Tribolium castaneum: one gene and its partner. The protein of the gene in region 1 binds, or shares a complex with, the protein of each later gene. Links are inferred from orthologs where the notes say so. Each region holds a gene or a part of one and is shown in the gene's direction. Other genes may lie near its edges. The genes, in order: Cyfip and Hem.

What was found.
Region 2: Cyfip (region 1) and Hem share a complex: the UniProt entries of both Drosophila melanogaster proteins name them as parts of the WAVE complex. The link is inferred for Tribolium castaneum from reciprocal best matches to the Drosophila melanogaster genes Cyfip and Hem.

Annotation. Positions count from the first base shown.
Region 1 is NC_087403.1:2,178,141-2,188,179, forward strand, and holds Cyfip (cytoplasmic FMR1-interacting protein), read left to right. Parts: upstream 1-3,613; 5' UTR 3,614-3,772; intron 3,773-3,825; 5' UTR 3,826-3,875; coding exon 3,876-4,088; intron 4,089-4,141; coding exon 4,142-4,321; intron 4,322-4,370; coding exon 4,371-4,883; intron 4,884-5,298; coding exon 5,299-5,909; intron 5,910-5,952; coding exon 5,953-6,251; intron 6,252-6,291; coding exon 6,292-6,374; intron 6,375-6,420; coding exon 6,421-6,737; intron 6,738-6,783; coding exon 6,784-7,352; intron 7,353-7,399; coding exon 7,400-7,591; intron 7,592-7,637; coding exon 7,638-7,936; intron 7,937-7,983; coding exon 7,984-8,222; intron 8,223-8,267; coding exon 8,268-8,415; intron 8,416-8,462; coding exon 8,463-8,660; 3' UTR 8,661-8,835; downstream 8,836-10,039. Other genes in the region: Duba (OTU domain-containing protein 5-A), read left to right, coding at 9,019-9,087, 9,354-9,442, 9,489-9,981, 10,029-10,039. UniProt on the Drosophila melanogaster protein: Plays a role in guidance and morphology of central and peripheral axons and in synaptic morphology. Also required for formation of cell membrane protrusions and for bristle development.
Region 2 is NC_087400.1:5,883,652-5,893,892, forward strand, and holds Hem (membrane-associated protein Hem), read left to right. Parts: upstream 1-3,803; 5' UTR 3,804-3,969; intron 3,970-4,018; 5' UTR 4,019-4,032; coding exon 4,033-7,401; 3' UTR 7,402-7,572; downstream 7,573-10,241. UniProt on the Drosophila melanogaster protein: Plays a role during growth of the oocyte.

The DNA of each region.
Region 1 (10,039 bases):
AAATTTCTCAACCAATCAACGCCGCCACTCGGCCACAGCGAGAAAAGCGGATAATAATCATTCAATTCATCAACTTCACTGCAAATTAGCAGATAATTTACAACGTGAAATACGGAACGCATGAACTACTTAAATTAACATCGTTTTGCACACAATATTTTAATTAGCAAAACCGAATAATACAATCGCTCGATTTAACAGCGCAACAAAGGGGCACATTTAATCTAACCACATCTCAGTTATTTCGGTTTGTTTATGATCTCTCTAAAAGTACCACAAGTACAAATTCTCGGCGCCTATGCTGCGTAAATAAACAAACAGCAGACAAGGACTCCTGGGGCATTCACAATTCGCCCCAAAGTATATCAATTTCAAGTCTTAACTAAATTATTAGTTAAACATTTCCACAATTTCACAGCAAAAAATCAGTGACTCGACAATGTTTGGTTGAAAACGACGAATTTCTCATAATAATTTTTAAGTAATAATAAAAAAAGTAGATATGTGCCCTGAATACTATTGAAAAAATGTAAAACATAATAATAATACAATAAAAATACAAAATGAAAACAACAGCAAAAGAATAATTACTGAAGTTTAGCTTTATTTCTTTTTTAAATAAGTTTACTGGCTTTGACTTTAAATGATTTTTGATGTTATTATAAATGACAATATAATCTTTTTTTGAACAAATGTGAAATATTTTACCCAAGACGACTAGTGCTAAAAATTTGTAGATTTTGAAACTTGTTTCTTGTTTTCACTTTAACATTATTGTTTTTGATATCTTAAAATGGAAGTATTGTGAAAAAATATCGGTTCAAGCAAACGCACAGATTTTAAAATATTTTTTCACCGTTACCTCTAAAGAATTATATTGCTAAAAAACTACCAGTGGGTTTTTGACAAGAGAAAATTGGCAGTGGTTAAAACTCATCATCCCGAAACAAAGTAATCCTGATTTACGGTATATTAAATGCCACTCAAAAAATGAAGTTCTTTCAAAGTGTGTGGCATAATTCACCGCTTGAGTTTAAGTGATTTAATTGCATGTTTCATTCGTGCAGCACCTCGTCGCTAAATCTAAACAGTGAATACATACAAAGACGAAAACATTTTTTAAATTTCAGTCCAAGTTTCCTAATTCCAGTTTTCGGGACAAAAACCGGCAAATGTTTTTGTGAAGTGCTCGTAGAACAATTTAGATCCGGTACGTCCATGAAGTGATATCTAACGTCTTTATGGAGGGCACATTCTGTAAAAAGCGGCCGTTATATCCAGAAATGGGTTTGCACAGGTCCTAATTCTAAATCGATATTCAATTAACTTCGTTTTTGGTATATTTGCGTGTACTTGATGTGATTTTAGCCCTGCAAATAAATGGCAAAACCTCCAATTTGATTGCGGTATTAAAAGCTCTGTTCTGTCGCACGCGTGTTTTGGAATAGACCGGCGGTGGTCAAGTGTGGACGTGTTAAGGTGCGTTGAAGCGTTTTTCTGGCTGATAGGAACTTAATACCAGCAATGCGTCAGTGACAGTCCGTCATTCCAGGCGAGCAGAATGGAATCAAGCGTGTTATAATTTGACACTTGTTTTCGCGTCTACCGCTTTTGCCTCATATACTCCGGCTTTGCTTTCACACGGAACGACTTGATTTCTTCCCCGACAAACATTAACATTTTAATAATAAAGTAATAATAAAAACAAGTGCTTTAGAGCCGTTTCCTGAAATTTGTTGTGCTTTTATTGAGATGTGACAAATAGGATGTGATTTCTTAAACCCCGAGAACTAAGTTCGGTTTAATTCCGGATGAAAAGCGACGGCGTTTTGTTTGGGGTCCCTTTTTACTTTCAATTGACCGTTTGACACTAGACTGCCATATCAAGTTACTAAATTATATTAAATATTTTGAATGAACCCGTTCTGAAATGTCAATATAAGTTCGCGCATCTGTCGCTCTTACGACGTGCTTTGTTTATTTCCATCTTCGTTTTTGCGTGCATTGAAATACAACATCCAATGGCAATCAATTCTGAATTAATAGTTAGCGGATCCGAAATATGGCCACACATTAGTAGTTATGTAAATGTTACCCCTGAACCGGGCAAATTCGGATGTTAAAATGCGAAACATATTTTTATTATAATGTAAATATTTGTTTTTCGGAAATATTATTCCAAGAATTATTTCACGCTTATTTAAATTACAAGTCATATTTCAACAATGAAATAATCTAAGCGTTCATGTAAATTCGCGATTACTATTTACGCGGAAAATTAACTTTCTCAACTAAATGTCAGAATTTGCAAAAAAGAAACGATATTTTACGACTTATAGAAAGACAAATTTAAGCAAAACTAATATTATTTGCGATATCAGGTCGCCTCGCGCAAATTAGATTTCAAATAAAAACAAACGCGGTGCAAGAAAGTTTCTATTCAGTTTTCAGCAACGGAAACAAAATTAGAAATCTATAAAGGACTTTATGAATTGTTAAGAAAGTCGGCTAATTAGTCGTTTGGCAGACAAAATGTAAGTAGAAGTGTTAATTTTTTGTATAAAATAGCATTCTTGAACCCGCTGTTTAATTAATTTATCGCAAACTAATGAACAAGTGCATGCAAATTTATTATAATAAATTGTAAAATAAATAGAGATAATTAATAAACTGAACAAATGGCATACGCTCACTTTATTCCCCGATGAAAAAAATCTTAAAGATAATAACATTGTTATCAGCAAATTGCATACAATATTTACGTTTCATTATTAATGATTTTGTTTTATTTGCCGGTATCTTTTCAAAGAGAATTTTCATTTAAAACCTAATCAATTAACAGGCTTTATTACTTGTAACCACATAACAAGCTGTTTAGGAATGTCACTTTTTTAATTAATTTGCGACTAAAAAATGATTGATTTTATTATGAAGGCGCATAAAGAGCGGCCGCTCACGCCGAAACCGTCAAATGTCATGAATGTTTCACCGAGATAGATTTTCAACGATTTTTTAAAGCACTAACGAATTCAGATGAATTCGAATGATGAAAGGACAAGAAACGCTAAGAATTTCGGAATTATAAACATAACAAGCTGTCGCTTAAAACTCGACTGCACACTAACTTTTTTATTTTCCTCACTGAGAGCTCCTTTGGCACTAAAATACCAAACTAAAGGACCCGATTGCGGCCCGAAAATTCATTAAATTAACTGGCGATATTGCAAATCAACTTTTTTATTCGTTCGATTTTTTAACTGATATGATGTGATAACACTTCCATACAATTATATCGAAATGAGAATAAACAATATTACTGTGCTCTTGCAACAATTCTATTAACAATTTCATGCACTTTTTGTTCTAAAATAATTGAAAGGAAAGTTTTTTGCGTTCTACTAACGTGGACTAAAATAACTGAAAGTGTTCTTGAGTAATTTCTGAACCAAATATAGAAAAAAACACTTATCAAAAATAATTACACGGCGAGGAAATCAATTCGGTGTAACGATTTTTTTCTTTAATATATATTTGAACGTTTAACTGAGCGCACCACCTCTTGGTTGGCGTTCCAACTAACTCGGCCGGAAATATGGCCACAATCCTAGTAACTTTTATTGCATGGGGTTCTTGACACTCTAGTTTTATATTTGTCATTTGTTTACTTGTCTAATGCCGCACCTAAAAATGTTAAATATTTCTAAAATAGCACAAAATTAGTTAAGTTTGTTGTTGATAACAAATAGCCACGTTCTGGGCCATGTTTCTAAGAGTGTGTTTTTGTGTGGTTCCATTGACTGCAGTCTCAAATTTGGTTTTTTCCAGATTGATTAAATTATTTTCTCTCTGGAAAAACAGCAAGTGGAGTGCTTGAAATGGCAGGAACTGATCGAGTTTCGCTGAGTGACGCATTATCCAACGTTGATGTACTAGACGAACTTCCTTTGCCTGATGAACAACCGTGCATTGAGGCCCAACCTTGCTCAGTTGTCTATCAGGCGAATTTTGATACAAATTTCGAAGATCGGAACGGGTTTGTGACAGGAATTGCCAAATACATTGAAGAGGCAACAGTACACGCAAGTCTCGTAATTATTAAATGAGCCATTTGTGTCCCCTGTGTCAGTCAGGTCATTTACAGAACGAGTTATTAGAGGAAGGGCAGGAGCATGCTGTCATGCTCTACACGTGGAGGTGCTGCTCTAGAGCCATTCCTCAGCCCAAATCTAACGAACAACCAAATCGGGTCGAAATTTACGAGAAAACTGTCGAAGTGCTCGCCCCCGAAGTGAACAAACTCTTGAACTTTATGTATTTTCAAGTAAGCCCCTTTTAACTCAACCCGGTTAGGACTCCCTTAATCATTTCAGAAAAAAGCAATCGAGCGGTTTTTCGAAGAAGTAAAACGATTATGTCACACCGAAAAAAGGAAAGACTTTGTCTCAGAAGCCTATCTCCTCACTTTGGGAAAGTTCATAAACATGTTTGCCGTCTTAGACGAGTTAAAAAACATGAAATCAAGTGTCAAAAACGACTATTCCACATACAGAAGAGCAGCACAATTTTTGAAAGTCATGTCTGATTCACAAACACTTCAAGAATCACAAAATTTATCGATGTTCTTAGCCACACAAAATAAAATTAGGGATGCTGTTAAGGAGAATCTGGAACGAATCAGTGGCTATGAGGAATTGCTAGCTGATGTTGTCAACATTTGCGTGCACATGTTTGAAACGAAAATGTACCTCACACCCAGCGAAAAACACATGCTTGTTAAAGTTATGGGCTTCGGGCTTTTCCTGATGGACAGCGAGTTGTGCAATATTAATAAGCTAGACCAGAAGAAGAAATTGAGGCTGGACCGCATTGACCGGATTTTCAAAGTGAGTGGCAAAAAATATAAAAGCAACTCGCATTTGATTGAATAACTCTGTTCAAGCTTAAATTAGTTCAATTAGTCCTTTAGTTTTTGTTATCCGAATGAATTGAAATTTTGCATAGTTACGTAATCTGCGTGACGATACAATTTTGTGTATTTAATACAAACTACAAACAAAATTAGAATTTACTCTCAAAAATCGCTTTGTATATTCAGATTATAAAGTTTAAATTTTGTGTACTTACGTCAAAAATGATTTTCAATAATTAATCAGAGAAACTGTATAATGAGTAAGCTCTTGACTTAACATTCTTGCCAGATCGGTGGCAAATTTTATATTTAATGCTTAAATAAAATCACGACTGGTTTATAAATCTACAACATTTGACCAAAATACGAGAAAGCCCGTTTTTTCGTAGAACTTGGAGGTTGTCCCTTTGTTCGGGGACATGCAGATCGCCCCTTTCAACTACATAAAGCGGAGCAAGCATTTCGACCCAAGCAAATGGCCTTTATCAAGTAGCAATACTCCCTCTCCCCAAGCCGATTTAATGGTACATTTGCCCCAAATTCGTGACGATCATGTTAAGTACATAAGCGAATTAGCGCGATACAGTAACGAAGTCACGACAACATACAAAGAAAGCGGTACTGACGCTGAAAATAAAGAAACGGCCGAACTTGCGCTCCGCGGATTACAATTACTGTCTGAATGGACAAGTGTTGTAACGGAACTGTATTCATGGAAGCTTTTACACCCAACTGACCACCATCAGAATAAAGAGTGCCCACAAGAGGCCGAGGAATACGAAAGGGCGACACGGTATAATTACAGCGACGAGGAAAAATTCGCGCTAATTGAAGTCATTGCGATGATTAAGGGATTACAAGTGCTGATGGCCAGAATGGAAACGGTGTTCACTGACGCAATTCGGCGGAATATTTACGCCGAATTGCAAGATTTCGTACAGATTATTTTGAGGGAACCGCTGAGGAAAGCAATTAAAAATAAAAAGGATCTTATCAGAAGGTAGCGCGTTTTTGTGTCCACATCACGTAACACGTTTTTTTAGTATCATTATGTCGGTGCGAGAAACTTGCGCTGATTGGCAGAGAGGTGTCGAGCCGACTCAAGACCCGGCTTTGAGGGGCAAAAAGGACGATAACGGGTTTAATGTTAAAGTGCCAAGGAGAAACGTGGGTCCTTCCTCCACCCAACTTTACATGGTCAGGACAATGCTGGAGTCGCTAATTGCCGATAAATCAGGCGGCAAAAGAACCCTGAGGAAGGACATAGACGGTCAATATTTAATGCAAATTGACCAGTTCCACAAAACCTCCTTCTACTGGAATTATCTTCTCAGTTTCAGTGGTACGTACAAAAACATTGATATTAATTCATTTCCTCCCAGAATCGTTGCAGCAATGTTGCGACCTGTCGCAGCTGTGGTACAGAGAGTTCTACCTCGAGATGACCATGGGACGGAGAATAAACGTGAGTAACGCGTAATTTTGCCAAAAATTTGCCAAACTTTTCATAGAAATGCACCGTGCGTCACGCTCATAACGAAGAATGTAACGATTTGATCACGATGGAAAAACGCATACAATTCCCAATCGACATGTCCATGCCTTGGATTTTGACTGATCATATTTTGAAAACTAAGGAACCCTCGATGATGGAGTACGTCTTGTACCCGCTTGATTTATACAATGATAGCGCGCTTTACGCACTGACAATATTCCGAAAGCAATTTTTATACGATGAGGTCGAGGCTGAAGTTAATTTATGTTTTGATCAGTTTGTTTATAAACTGAGCGAGCAAATTTTCGCGTACTATAAACAACTGGCGGCAAGGTATTGATAAAAATCATGGGAACGCTTTCACAATCAATCCTTTCAGTATCTTTCTTGATAAGCGCTTCAGAGTGGAGTGTGCCGCCTTGGGGGCTTACCTGCTCCCCTACCCGCGAGCAAATCGTTACGAAACCTTGCTAAAACAGCGGCACGTCCAGTTATTAGGGCGGTCGATCGATTTGAATAAGTTGATCACTCAGAGGATCAACACCGACATGCAGAAAAGTCTCGATTTGGCAATAAGTAAGTTCGAAGGCGGTGACATAACCGGGGTTATGGAACTGGAAGGCCTCCTACAAGTGAATCGGTTGTGTCATAAATTGCTGAGCAAGTGGCTCGCACTTGACGATTTCGATTCAATGTATCGTGAGGCTAATCACAACGTTTTGGCGCCCTATGGCCGCATCACCTTGCATGTGTTTTGGGAGCTGAACTACGATTTCTTGCCTAATTACGTCTACAATGCCGCGACGAACAGATTTACTAAGTATCGGGGGCAGATTGCTTTCGCGGGGGCTGTCCACAGAGATAAGCCGCCGCAAATGTCGCATCATTACATGTGGGGGAGCAAGCAACTGAACCTTGCCTACACGACTCAGTATGGCCAATATTCCGGTAAATCTAGCTTATGGTCCTAATTTTGTTTAACTAGTACGGTTTAGGGTTCGTCGGGCCTCAGCATTTCCACACAATGTGCAAACTCTTGGGTTATCAAGGCATTGCAGTTGTGATGGAGGAGCTCCTCAAAATTGTCAAAAGTCTGATCCAAGGGAACCTCCTCCAATTCACCAAAACTCTAATGGAGGTCATGCCAAAGCAGTGCAAATTGCCACGTTACGATTACGGCTCACCGGGTAATGATTTGCTTGATTTGGGCGGAATTAATAAGACGAATTTTAGGTGTGTTAAGTTACTACCACGCCCAATTGAACGACATTGTCCAATACCCCGATGCCAGGACCGAGTTGTTCCACAATTTCCGAGAATTTGGGAACATTATCCTGTTTTGTTTACTGATGGAACAGGCCTTGTCACAGGAGGAAGTCTGTGATTTGTTGCAAGCGGCACCGTTTCAGAATATCCTCCCACGGCCGTTTTGCAAGGAAGGGGAGAAGCCCGAAACGAAGCAGAAACGGCTTGAAGCCAAATATGCCGCCTTGCAGATTGTACCAAATATAGAGAAGTTAGGAACTGCAAAGGTTGGATAAATGTGCAAACAACTGTTTGTTATTTCGCCAATTTGTAGCAATCTTTGATATCGAAGGAGGGCGATTTATTGACCCGTGAGCGGCTGTGCTGCGGTCTCTCGATTTTTGAAGTTGTTTTGAACCGATTAAGGACCTTCCTGGACGATTCGGTTTGGGTCGGACCGCCGCCTGCTAACGGTGTCATGAACGTTGACGAATGCACCGAGTTCCATCGCTTGTGGTCGGCTTTACAATTCGTCTATTGTATTCCAGTTAGCGAGAACGAATATACTGTCGAGTGGGTACCGACTTTATGTTTCGTTTTATTTATTCCGTGTTTCAGGGAAATGTTTGGCGAAGGTTTGCATTGGGCGGGGTGTACAATGATCGTGCTTCTGGACCAGCAAAGGCGGTTTGAGGCCCTCGATTTCTGTTACCACATTCTGAGAGTACAAAGAGTTGACATGAAGGATGAAATTGTGAAAGGCATTGTATGTTGGTTGTACGGTTGTTTTCGGTCTATAATTGTCTTTCCCAGAGCTTGAAGAGAATGGTGGACAGGATCAGGCGCTTCCAAGTGCTCAATTCGCAGATCTTTGCGATTTTGAACAAGTTTTTGAAGTCGAGTGAGAACGACGAGTTGTCGGTTGAACATGTACGTTGTTTCCCGCCACCGGTCTACCCAATGAATCCGCAACAGCACTACCACGCACCCGAACATCTACGCCAGTGTTGAAGCACGTTTATTTTATACATTTGTTGGAATCAGCTTTCAACATTTTATAATCTTTTATATTTATTATAGTCCTACTACATGTGTAAATCTCATTACAAATGTATCGCCCACCCTCATTTATTATCGGCCTTATTGGTATTGCTTTAATTTTTCATAATAAAATTTTCGATGCCTGCTTGAGTGTGTTTTATTTCGCGCGTTGTTTCAAATTCAGGGCTGCCAACCGGGGACTTAGTCCCGCTGGTGACTGTTGATAGCAGCTGTTCGTCGTGTGTTGACAGTAGTTGAGAGATTTGTCAAACTATAGAAAATAATTCAATAATTTTGTAGTATTTTCTGTATTTTGAAAAATTAGACAATGACAATTTTACCAGCCAAAAGACCTTCGGCGAATCCGGAGGAGAAAAGCGACAATAGTCAGCAAAATGTGAGTAGATATGTTAAACTTGTCATTTTTGATCTTTTTTTAAGGAGAAACTTCATAATCATAAATCGTGTTATCTTTATTGTCAGCGTGTTGGACTAGCGAAATCTTTGCTTGATCTTGAAATTTTGTACACGATTGCGTAATTAGATAGGTTTAATAATGTAATAATGTAAAATAGGTAGGTAATGATTGCTTTCCAATACTAGCTCAAGAGCTGTCTAGGTCGGCTTCCTTTGTTCGAATAATTAAGGCCCGACTTTTTTTAGGGGAATTCCGAGCGAGCGGTGCGTAGGAGAGACGATATAAGTTCTCTGAATGAGGCAAGCCCTTCAAGCCGCCGATCTCAGTTCCCCTAGTAAGTTTCCACCCTCAATCGCGGAAAAATTCATTCTTGCTTCCAGCGTCAAGTCAACAACTGAGCGGAAAGAGCGTTTGAGGAAGCGATATAAAGAGCCAGATCGGGCGCGAGATAGGGAACGCGAGCGCGAACAAAAACGGGAAGTTCGGAGGGAACAAAAACGGGAACGAGTTGCTAAACGCGATATCTCAAATGAGCCTCTACATGACAATAATGCGAGTAATTCGGTTGTTGACTCAGTCGCTGTTGAGCCCACTTGCAACAACAACGAACCTGGGACTGCGAACAAGGAAGACTACACGGGCTTCAACAGCGAGGATGAGTACGATGACCAGGGACTCCTCAAAGAGCGGAACATACCGGATGAAGAGTGGCAAAAAAGGGACGTGTTATTTTCCCGCGGCATGTCCAACCTTGGGTTCGAAATCAAGCAAATGAACGAAGATGGGGCCTGTCTCTTCCGGTCGATAGCAGACCAAGTGTACGGCGACCAAGAATTCCATTATCAAGTCAGGCAGGACTGCATGAACTACATCGTAAGTTGTACGCAAAGTGGGGATTTTTTCTAATTTGTTTCTGGAAGGTTCAAAACCG
Region 2 (10,241 bases), on another chromosome or scaffold:
AGAGAAATTATGTCCATTTTCGGTCAATAACGTGCTGAAAGTCACAAAAAAAATAAAAACAATTTTAAAATTATAGAATCAACTTATACACCCGGTATCTTTTGATGAAATCTGGTGAAAAATTAGAGAATTAAATTGAAACAAAGTGGAAGAAAATGTTTTCTCGAGCTAATTCGCCGACTTTTGAACTGAATGTATTTGCGTTTTAGGTGAATTATTGCAATTATATAGTATGTAAAGTTGATTTATTTAAAAAGTTTGTGTTAAAATATCTGTAAAAGACGGTCAGCACCTGGGCCCTGGTGGCTCAGTGGTATAAGCGCCACTTACGACGGGGGAGGTCAGGTGTTCGAACCCGGATCAGGGTAACAATTTTTCTATGAAAAAAAGTGTAGAAAAGGTAAGGAAACAACACGTAAACAAAAATAAGAGATTGAGAGAACACATAGACGTATAAATGTATAGTGAAGCATAAAACTGACAGAAATAAGAAAATAATGCGGCAAAAGGTAAAAGTAAGTAAAGGCGCCAAATTGTAAACGTAAGAGCACATCCTAATATAGGAAAAATACCTTTTGTTTTGAGAGAAAAAGAGATGAACGTAAAGGTGAAGCATGACTTCAAATTTTAGTTGAATCCTTAGATGACTTACTTCTTAAATTATAAAAAAAATAAACGAAAACATTTAATTTATCTCAAAAAATTTTTAGTTAACTGAGTTTGTTTACTAAAGTCCCGAAAAACATTGTTAATAAAAATCATGACCACTGCGAATACAGTAGGATTTGTGTACGTCCACTATTTTTGACTAGAAATACACAAATTTGGTGATTTTTTGGGAAATTATGTCCACTTTCGGTCAAAAACGTGCTGAAAGCCACTAAAGAGGTAATAATAATTTTAAAATTGTAGAATCAACTTGAACGCCTGTATTTTTTGATGCAATTTGGTGAAAAATTAGAGAATTAGATTTAAAAAAGTGGAACAAAATGTTTTCTCGATCCAATTCGCCGACTTTACTACACTTTTCTTTCAAAGTTTTGTATTTTTGTTTTATATTTTTTTGTTTTTTAAAATCACAGCAAATCACAGTGACTAAAAAAATTGCTGCCTGCCTTAATACGGCATTAATAACGTTTTGTGTTTCAAACATGGACGTGGCTAAACGTTTACAGAGTGATTGAACATTTCAGATTATAATTAATCCATTTGCTGTTGTTTTTAATTTCGTCTAACTCAGTCCGAGTTAGTGAATTTATTGACGTATTCAAATTGCGTCGAAATTCAAATTTCCAATTCAGCGAAATTTATAGTAATTAAATGTGATCGCGACATGACAGATTGAGGTAAATGTGAGCTAGCAATATACACATAAATGTACATACATTGTCCAATCAATATTGTTATCTCTTCGTGTGTACACTGGGCCCTGCCATTAATAAATTATGCAACATTTACTAGCACTGCTTGTCGGAAAATGTCATTTTCCCCTCCGAGAAAGACTCCCTGTCAACATGTTTTAATTTTAAATGCGGCGCCGCCAACTCACGATAATGACCGTTCCGGTGGAAAAGTGATTACTAAGCTTCCGGATGCAACAGTCGCTGTTTAAAAATTAAGCTCTTGGCAAGATGCACAAACATAACGAATTCTAAAATCTTGCCAAGGGATCTGTTTCATAGCTCCAGCGGTAAGTGAATGTAACGGCGGAGTTTAATGATTGAATTCGCAAAGTTGAATGAAAAATTCGCAGAGCTTTTAAGTAGACAATAATTACACAAAGTTGGATAAAACTCTCTTCGAAATTATAATTATTTCTCCGGCTTTATCCCGCTGCAATTAGAATATTAGGTGAAAAGGAGTGATGAATGGCTTTAATTCTATAAGAGTTGCAGAAATACTTTAAGGTGGCGCCACCGCTCGAAATTCAACCAACTCTATGCGATATATAAAACAATGTTATATTTGTGAACCCGCAATAAAATTTTCAACGGTTCGCGTCTTGCCAACGTTGTAAAATTTTTATTTCTGCGTCATTATAATTCTCGAGATTTTTTCTTGTAGATTTATAACACAATATACCAGCGAAATCTTTTAATCGTGGCCTACTTTACCCGCAACTGATAAGAAAAATAATGCATACGTTACTTATTATTCACTTATTGCAACAAAGCCGGAGCTTAAACATTATTTATCTTGTTGTGTAGTTATTAAAGTGTCAAGAGACAACTTATTTTTCCTTTCCGTCGGTGTTTTATGATTTCTATAAAATGATTTATAAGGCTACTAGATTTGCATAATACATTGCAACGCCAACGTTTAAATTCTTTTTTTATTTCGCCGAATCAATCTTTATTTGTTTTCGGAGCAAGAAAACAGCACTCACACCTCCATTATAAAAGTTTACGGCGCCACTTGGGTTACTCCATTGGCCATCATTTATACGTTCCTTAGCAACACCTTTGAAAACAAACACGACTGTCAATTATTGCACAAAGTTTCCTCACACGGTGGGCTGTAGGTAAACAAAACGTTAAACTTTCAAAGTTATTTATTTTCCAAGGTAAATATTTAAGAATTAAGCTTTTCCATGAAGGACAACGAAGCCGCTATTATTATACAGAAATGTGTCAGGAGATATTTATCGAAGAACAAGGCGGCTACGAAAACAAAAACAGATAAGAACCAAAAGTAAGTCAACAATTCCAAGTGACGCATCTTTTTTTATATATTTTTTTTAATTAAAACAGTGTTACCCATGACGAAATAAAACAAGTCCTAGAGGAAATTCATTTATTTCAGAAGAAATTACAATCAAATATGAAGAAAAAAGACGAAATCAAGAAACTGTGTTTAAGCATTGATGAGATTTCCACGGAACTAAAATCGATAACTAAATTAGAACACTGTAAGCAATTAGAGACGTCGTTTTCCAATGAAACGTACGAAAAAATTCAGCAAAAACACCGGGAACAAATCGGGCAAATAAATTCAAAATGGTGGGAAAAATTAGATATTTTCGAGGATCAATAATTTTTATGACCGATTGAGTTACCAAATTTTTTTTAACAAGTGTGTGATAATTATGTATACAATGTTACCCAGTTGAGTTTCAGATGTTTTGAAATTATAAACTTTATTTAATAAATGTTTAACAATGTTTTACCGAATTTCATTTTTTGTCTGTTGCCATAAATTTAACTGTTTGTTCATTTATATTCTAACTGTCTTGTACGTTTCTGTGAATGTACTTTTCTAGCCTTGGAAAGCTCCCCAAAAAACTCGCAGTATGCTCTGATATTTTCACGGATGTTATAGAACAATTTTTATCATTGTATTCAAAGGCGATGTGTTATGTGTGTTGAACAACAAGGAAGACATTTCCAACAGTTTTTAAATGATAATAAATAAATATTTTAATAAAAATTTGTTCTTTTTAATTGTCAAAAAGTATGAGAGTTATGAGAGAACGAATTTATCACAAACATAAAAAATAATTGTTTTTTAACTTCGCAGCACACTATTTTTTTTAAGTAATTATTTGTTATTTCTGGAGTGTAAATTTTAAATTTAACGTCCATCAAAGGTCAATATCTCTAATAAGTAATAATAAACCAGTTATGAAGCGTTTTCGGATCGTTGACAGCCTGTACATTTCAAAAACTAGAGCCCTTAAAATCTGTTTGCAGTTTTGAAATCAGCGTCCAACAATTTCTTAACAACAACAAAAAATATTCAGTAAACTTTCGCCATTTATTTTGGTGAACTCGATGAGCTCGCGCAATCTACATTTTACACTTCAATGGCTCCAAACTGCCATCACAACCGGGCTGAAATCCCTAGCGTCACCGCCTTGTTTCTGACGTTTATCTGACATTTCGTTAACCAACAAATCAAAATATCTCATTTTACCAAAAAAACGATGAAATAACACAATTCATCACTTAAAAACTCACGTCCGGGTCGAAGGTACGCCCAACACTTTTTTTACAGTTTCATAACATTAAATAATTAACAGGAAACTAAATCAAAATGGCCCGTCCTCTCGCCCCCAGCGAGCGGAAAATCGCCGAAAAACTCATCATCCTCAACGACAGGGGCATCGGCATGCTCACACGCATCTACAACATTAAAAAAGCCTGCGGAGACGCCAAATCCAAGCCGGGGTTTCTCTCCGACAAGAACTTGGAGTCTTCGATCAAGAGCATTGTGCGGCGGTTTCCGAACGTCGACAGCAAGAACTTGACTGCGATTCAAGGGCTCAGGAACGAGATAATCAAATCTTTGTCGCTGTATTACTACACGTTCGTCGATTTGCTTGATTTCAAAGACCACGTTTGCGAGTTGTTGACTAGCATGGGGGCGTTTCAAATCGAGCTTGATATTTCGCTCAATTTCGAACTCACTAAGCATTATCTTGACTTGGTGACGACCTACGTGTCTCTGATGGTGTTGCTGTCGCGGGTTGAGGACCGCAAGGCCGTTCTGGGGCTTTTTAACGCCGCTTATGAAATCGTGCATTCCTCGCCCGATTCAAGCTTCCCGCGGTTGGGCAACATGATCATGGAGTATGAGATTCCGTTTAAAAAGTTATGCGAGGAGTTTGTGCCCCACACTAAGCTGCTTCTAAGCGCCTTGAACTCGCTTCTACCCATTTATATCGCCCGGAATGTCTCGGCTGATAAATGGCGCTCTGAATTGAAGTTGAGTCTAGTAGGCAACCCAGCTTCGCTCCTCAAGCCGGTGATAGCCGACCGGATGTCGTGCGAGTACGTCTCGCTTGATACCATGGAACGCTGGATTGTCTTCGGTTTGTTGCTAATTCACCCGCACTTGCAGCAAGATCATTTGAATAAATTATGGATCAATGCGCTTGAGTCGTCTTGGGTCTTGCCCCTGTTCCGGGACGAGGTTATCTACACCCATCAGTACATCTGTGGGTACTTTGATACCATCAAGGGCTATAGTAAAAGGGCGTCCGAGGTTAAGGATTGCCACAGTCAAGCGATACAAAAGGCTGGGTACAAACACCGCGAACGCCGAAAATTCCTAAGGACGGCCCTCAAAGAATTAGGCTTGATTTTGATGGACCAGCCGGGGCTTTTGGGGCCGAAGGCCCTCATGGTCTTCATGGGTTTGTGCTACGCACGGGACGAGGTCTTATGGTTGTTGCGTCACAACGACAACCCACCCCAACAAAAAAACAAGGGTAAATCGACCGAGGATTTAGTCGATAGACACCTGCCAGAACTCCTCTTCCACATGGAAGACTTACGGGTGTTGGTCCGAAAGTACAGTCAAGTCATGCAAAGGTACTACGTCCAGTACCTCTCACACTTCGACGCCTTGGTCCTCAAAGACATGATCCAGAAAAACTTGGGTTCGGTGGGCGAAGACGAGTGCATAATTCTCTCCTCTTTGTGCAACACCATCTCGGGCCTTTCGGTCAAACAAGTCGAAGACAACGAAACGTTCAACTTCTTCGCCTTCCGCTTGGACTGGTTCCGCTTGCAGGCGTACATGTCCACAGGCAACGCCCTCTTGCGCATCATGGACAACAAAGACCTGGCCCAGTTTTTGGACACCGTGCAATTCCACACGAAAATGGTCGACAATCTGGACGAAATGCTAGTCGAGACTTCGGATTTATCAATCTTCTGCTTCTACAACCGCATTTTCGAGGACCAGTTCCACATGTGTCTGGAGTTCCCGGCCCAGAACCGCTTCATCGTGGCCTTCCCGTCGATCTGCTCCCACTTCCAGCACTGCACGCACGAGCTGTGCCCCGAGGAGCGCCACCACATCCGCGAACGCAGCCTGTCGGTGGTCAACGTCTTCCTGGACGAGATGGCCAAGGAAGCCAAGAACATTATCACGGCGATTTGCGACGCCCAGTGCAAGATGAGCGACAAGCTCCTGCCCAAAAACTGCGCCCACTTGATCTCGCAGCAAATGAACCGCAAGAAGAAGGAGAAGAATAAGAAGAACACCCTCGAGATCGAGAAACCGGGCAAGGAGAGTTACAGGAAAACGAGGGAGAATTTGACGACTATGGATAAGTTGCACATGGCTTTGACCGAGCTCTGCTATGCTATTAACTACTTCTCGAATATAAACGTCTGGGAGTATACGTTCGCTCCTAGGGAATACTTGCACCAGCACTTGGAGAATCGCTTTGCGCGGGCTTTGGTCGGCATGGTCATGTATAGCCCGGACACTAACGAAATCGCCAAACCGTCCGAGCTTTTGGTTAGCGTCCGCGCCTACATGAACGTGCTCCAAACGGTGGAGAACTACGTCCATATTGACATAACCCGGGTTTTTAACAACTGTCTCCTGCAACAAACCCAGCCTGTGGACAGCCATGGGGAGAAAACCATAGCTGCGATTTACACCCAGTGGTATTCCGAAGTGTTACTGCGACGTGTTAGCGCCGGCAATATAATCTTCTCGATGAACCAACGCTCGTTTGTTTGCCTCACCGCCGAGGCGGCGATTCCGTTCAACCCCGAGGAGTATTCAGACGTGAACGAGCTGCGCGCCCTGGCGGAGCTGATCGGTCCCTACGGTATGAAGCAGTTGAGCGAGACGCTGATGTGGCACATCGCCAGTCAAGTCATCGAGTTGAAGAAACTAGCCGAGGCCAACAAGGACGTCCTTTTGCTGCTCCGCACCAACTTCGACAAGCCCGAAGTGATGAAAGAACAGTTCAAGAAGCTGACCAGCGTCGAGAACGTGCTCCAGCGCATGACGATCGTCGGCGTGATTCTGAGCTTCCGCCAGTTGGCGCAGTCGTGCCTCACTGATGTCCTGGAGCAGAGGATCCCGTTCCTCCTGAGCTCGATCCTGGATTTCCGCCACCATTTGCCGAGCGGTGACCCGCTGAAGGTCGTGAGTGAGATGTGCTCAGCGGCGGGGATTCCCTGCAAGGTGGATCCGACGCTGGTCAATGCGCTCAAGTTGCAGAAGCCGGAGGTGGACAGTGACGAGCACTTGATCACCTGTTTGCTGATGGTGTTTGTGGCGGTGTCGATTCCCAAGCTGGCCAAGCAAGAGCAGTCGTTTTATAGGGCGTCGCTTGAGGGGCATACGAATAATATTCATTGTATGGCCTTGGCGGTTAATCATATCTTCGGGGCGTTGTTCACGATTTGTAATCAGGGGGATATGGAGGACCGGATGAAGGAGTTTCTGGCGTTGGCGTCCTCGAGTTTGCTCAGGTTGGGACAGGAGGCTGATAAGGAGGCCACGAAAAATAGGGAGAGTGTGTATTTGTTGTTGGATCAGATCGTGCAAGAGTCGCCATTTTTGACGATGGATTTGTTGGAGTCGTGCTTTCCATATGCGCTGATCAGGAATGCCTATCACGCGGTGTATAAGCAGGAGCAGTTGTTGGCGTAAATTAAGTATTTATTTCCCGTACAAATTTTATTCATCATTTAGTACTATCAAGTACAACACAATTGTATCACAATTCCTATTTAATTAGTTTAAATACATTATGTTAAGTAACGAGCATTTATATCATGATATTGTAGTGTTACAACATGTATTGTAAATTTTTTTATATTCTGTACGTCTTTTATTTTTACTAAACCATTAACACGCTTATTTCATCTTTCGTTGTTTCCAATTATGAAACTAGGAAGAATAGTGTAACAAAAAAATGAATACGAAGATGAAACAAATCTTAGGAACTAAAACTTTCTTTCTGGCGTTTTCCATGTACAGGGTGCTCAAAAACTGGCGCACCAACTCAGTGGTGCGTTATTGAGAAGCAAGTGCAGATTACGGTAAAAGTGTTGAAAAAATTCCTAGTCATATTTAAACAATCTAGAGCTACAAACTTATTGTGTTAACTTCTTTAGTTTTCATTATTTTTTTATATTTTTATGTTTCATGCCAGGTAATCGTTCCGTAACAAAACGATGAATAATCAGATTTTAGCAGTTTTTTTAATAAAAAAAAATAAAATTCATGCAAAAAATCACAATGTGTAGATGTGCCAACACTTGGAATTAATTCCTAGGAAACCGTTTCAAAAACAATTTATTTTTATTGTTGCTTAACTATTGCGATCATGACTATTAGACAACGTTGCCACATATCATTTATCTAATATGTTCGAATTTTTGATGTTTGATTTTTTCAATTTTTGTCGCGAATTTTGTCGATTTCTGGTACCCTGATAATTTATCAAGGAATAATTCCGGAACTATTAGAGATAACCCCCTGATGTGTCCTATCTTTGGAAAGCTCTTTTAATGATCTATCATTTGCAAAAAAGATTATTGTTGTCCGACTTATAGTTTTCGAGAAAATGCAAATAAAAGCAAAAATTAGATCATATACTCAAAAGTTCATAACTAAAAAACTATTGGGAATTTAGCGCTTTTCTTGATTCCAATCGATTCCCCGGATCATTTTGCATAGGTATGAATCAAAATAGTTCCACTTTTTAGAATAGTTTAGCCGTAAATGAGAAAATAAAAAAAATTGAAAAAAAGTTAACACCCCCCCCTTAGAAATCGGTCAATTTTTAAAGTGTCTCAAAATCAAATAAAACCGATTCTATCTTATAGATTTTGATGTGCTCTTTCCGATCTAAAAAAGCGTTTTCTCCTAGCTCTTTTAGTTTGGCCGTAATCGGCGTTTGAAAATTGAAAATTTTTGGGAGATATCGCCTTGAGTCCTATGCCATTTTGTAGAGTTTTTTATTCCGGTTATTCTCCATTTTTCCGTTTCTCGATAACTCTAATAGTTTCGTCGTAATTGGCGATTGAAAATTGAAAAAAAGTGAAAATGGAAACCTTTTTTTGCGTTTTTCTCGGAAACTGTAAGACTTAGAGCAACGAACAAAAAACCATCTGATAGCGTTTAATTTTAGCTATTTTTTCGTCTAAACCCGGAGCCGCTCCGGGCAACGGTTCCGGCTACAGAGGCGATCAAAGTTTTTCACTAAAAAAATTCATAAAAAAAACTAAAAGTCGTAGAGCAATGCGGTTTGTTCGATTAAATTTTACGGCTCATTTTACATAATATATCAATAATAAAAAATTTAAAATTTTTTGCCTAAATTTAGCGTAGCGGTATTTATGGTGAACAGTTTTATTCAACAAAAAAATTCATAACTCGAAAACTAAAAGTCGTAGAGCAATGCGGTTTGTTCCATTGAATTCAGCGGCTCATTTTCTGTACCAACTTTTCACGAGATTTAAAATTTTCAATTTTTTTGCTAAAATTTCCTGAGTAAAACACTTACCTTCAAAGAGGTGAAAAAAAATATTTTTTTTAAACTCACTCTAGTAAATTTTTATGGACTTCTACACGTCTTAACAACCCACAAAAGTTGTTAAAAGTCCACAAAAAGTCCATATGTTCGATTTTTTGATGTTTGATTTTTTCAATTTTCGTCGCAGTTTTTGTCGATTTAAACTAGTAATTTATCAATAACTTTACTACAAAGAATTTTTTACTATTTTTACCTTAACCAGTTCTCTTCTACACACCATTGAATTGGTGCGCCAGTTTTTAAGCACGCTGTATAAAATATATGCATTTTTTCTTTTTTTTTTTTGGTTAAATGGCAATGTACTACGTGTACATTTAGACAAACTTTCCCTTCTATATCTATCTTTATCTTCTATATCTTTAATAGTTGTGTTGTGGAAATTTGGATCGAAGAGATAGAAACTTTTAAACAACAAAAATCGGAAAAAACGTAACTGTAATTACAAACACTAGTTTTACATATTTTAAAGTGAAAAAAATTGCTTGGGCTAAAAAATTGTTAGTAGATTTTGGATTAATTAGTATGGTACTTACCCATTTTTTCACTTATGCCCTCTGGTGGTCAATGAGAATGTTTCTTTACATATTTTCAAAGAAAGTTTGCATTCAAAAATAATGTTAACCTAAAAAACGACAAATTTAGTTGAATCGCTCGATAGCACACAGGCCAACGTATTTTTTCAGGAGTGATCAGGATTGGAGAGTTCATGGTAAATAAGTATCGTGCGTGTGAAAAATGTATGACTTTGTTTTTATTTTACATTTGACAATAACACATTTATTATTCACAGTATTATAAAAAGTCATCCAATGACTTTGGTACATGTATTAAGCGACATGCACAACAATTATTGGTCATCGAGGTTGGATTGTACCTACTAGCATAATAAAAAAATTTGATACAATTACTTTTACGTCGTCAAAAAATCAAACAAATGCTAGACATAGGT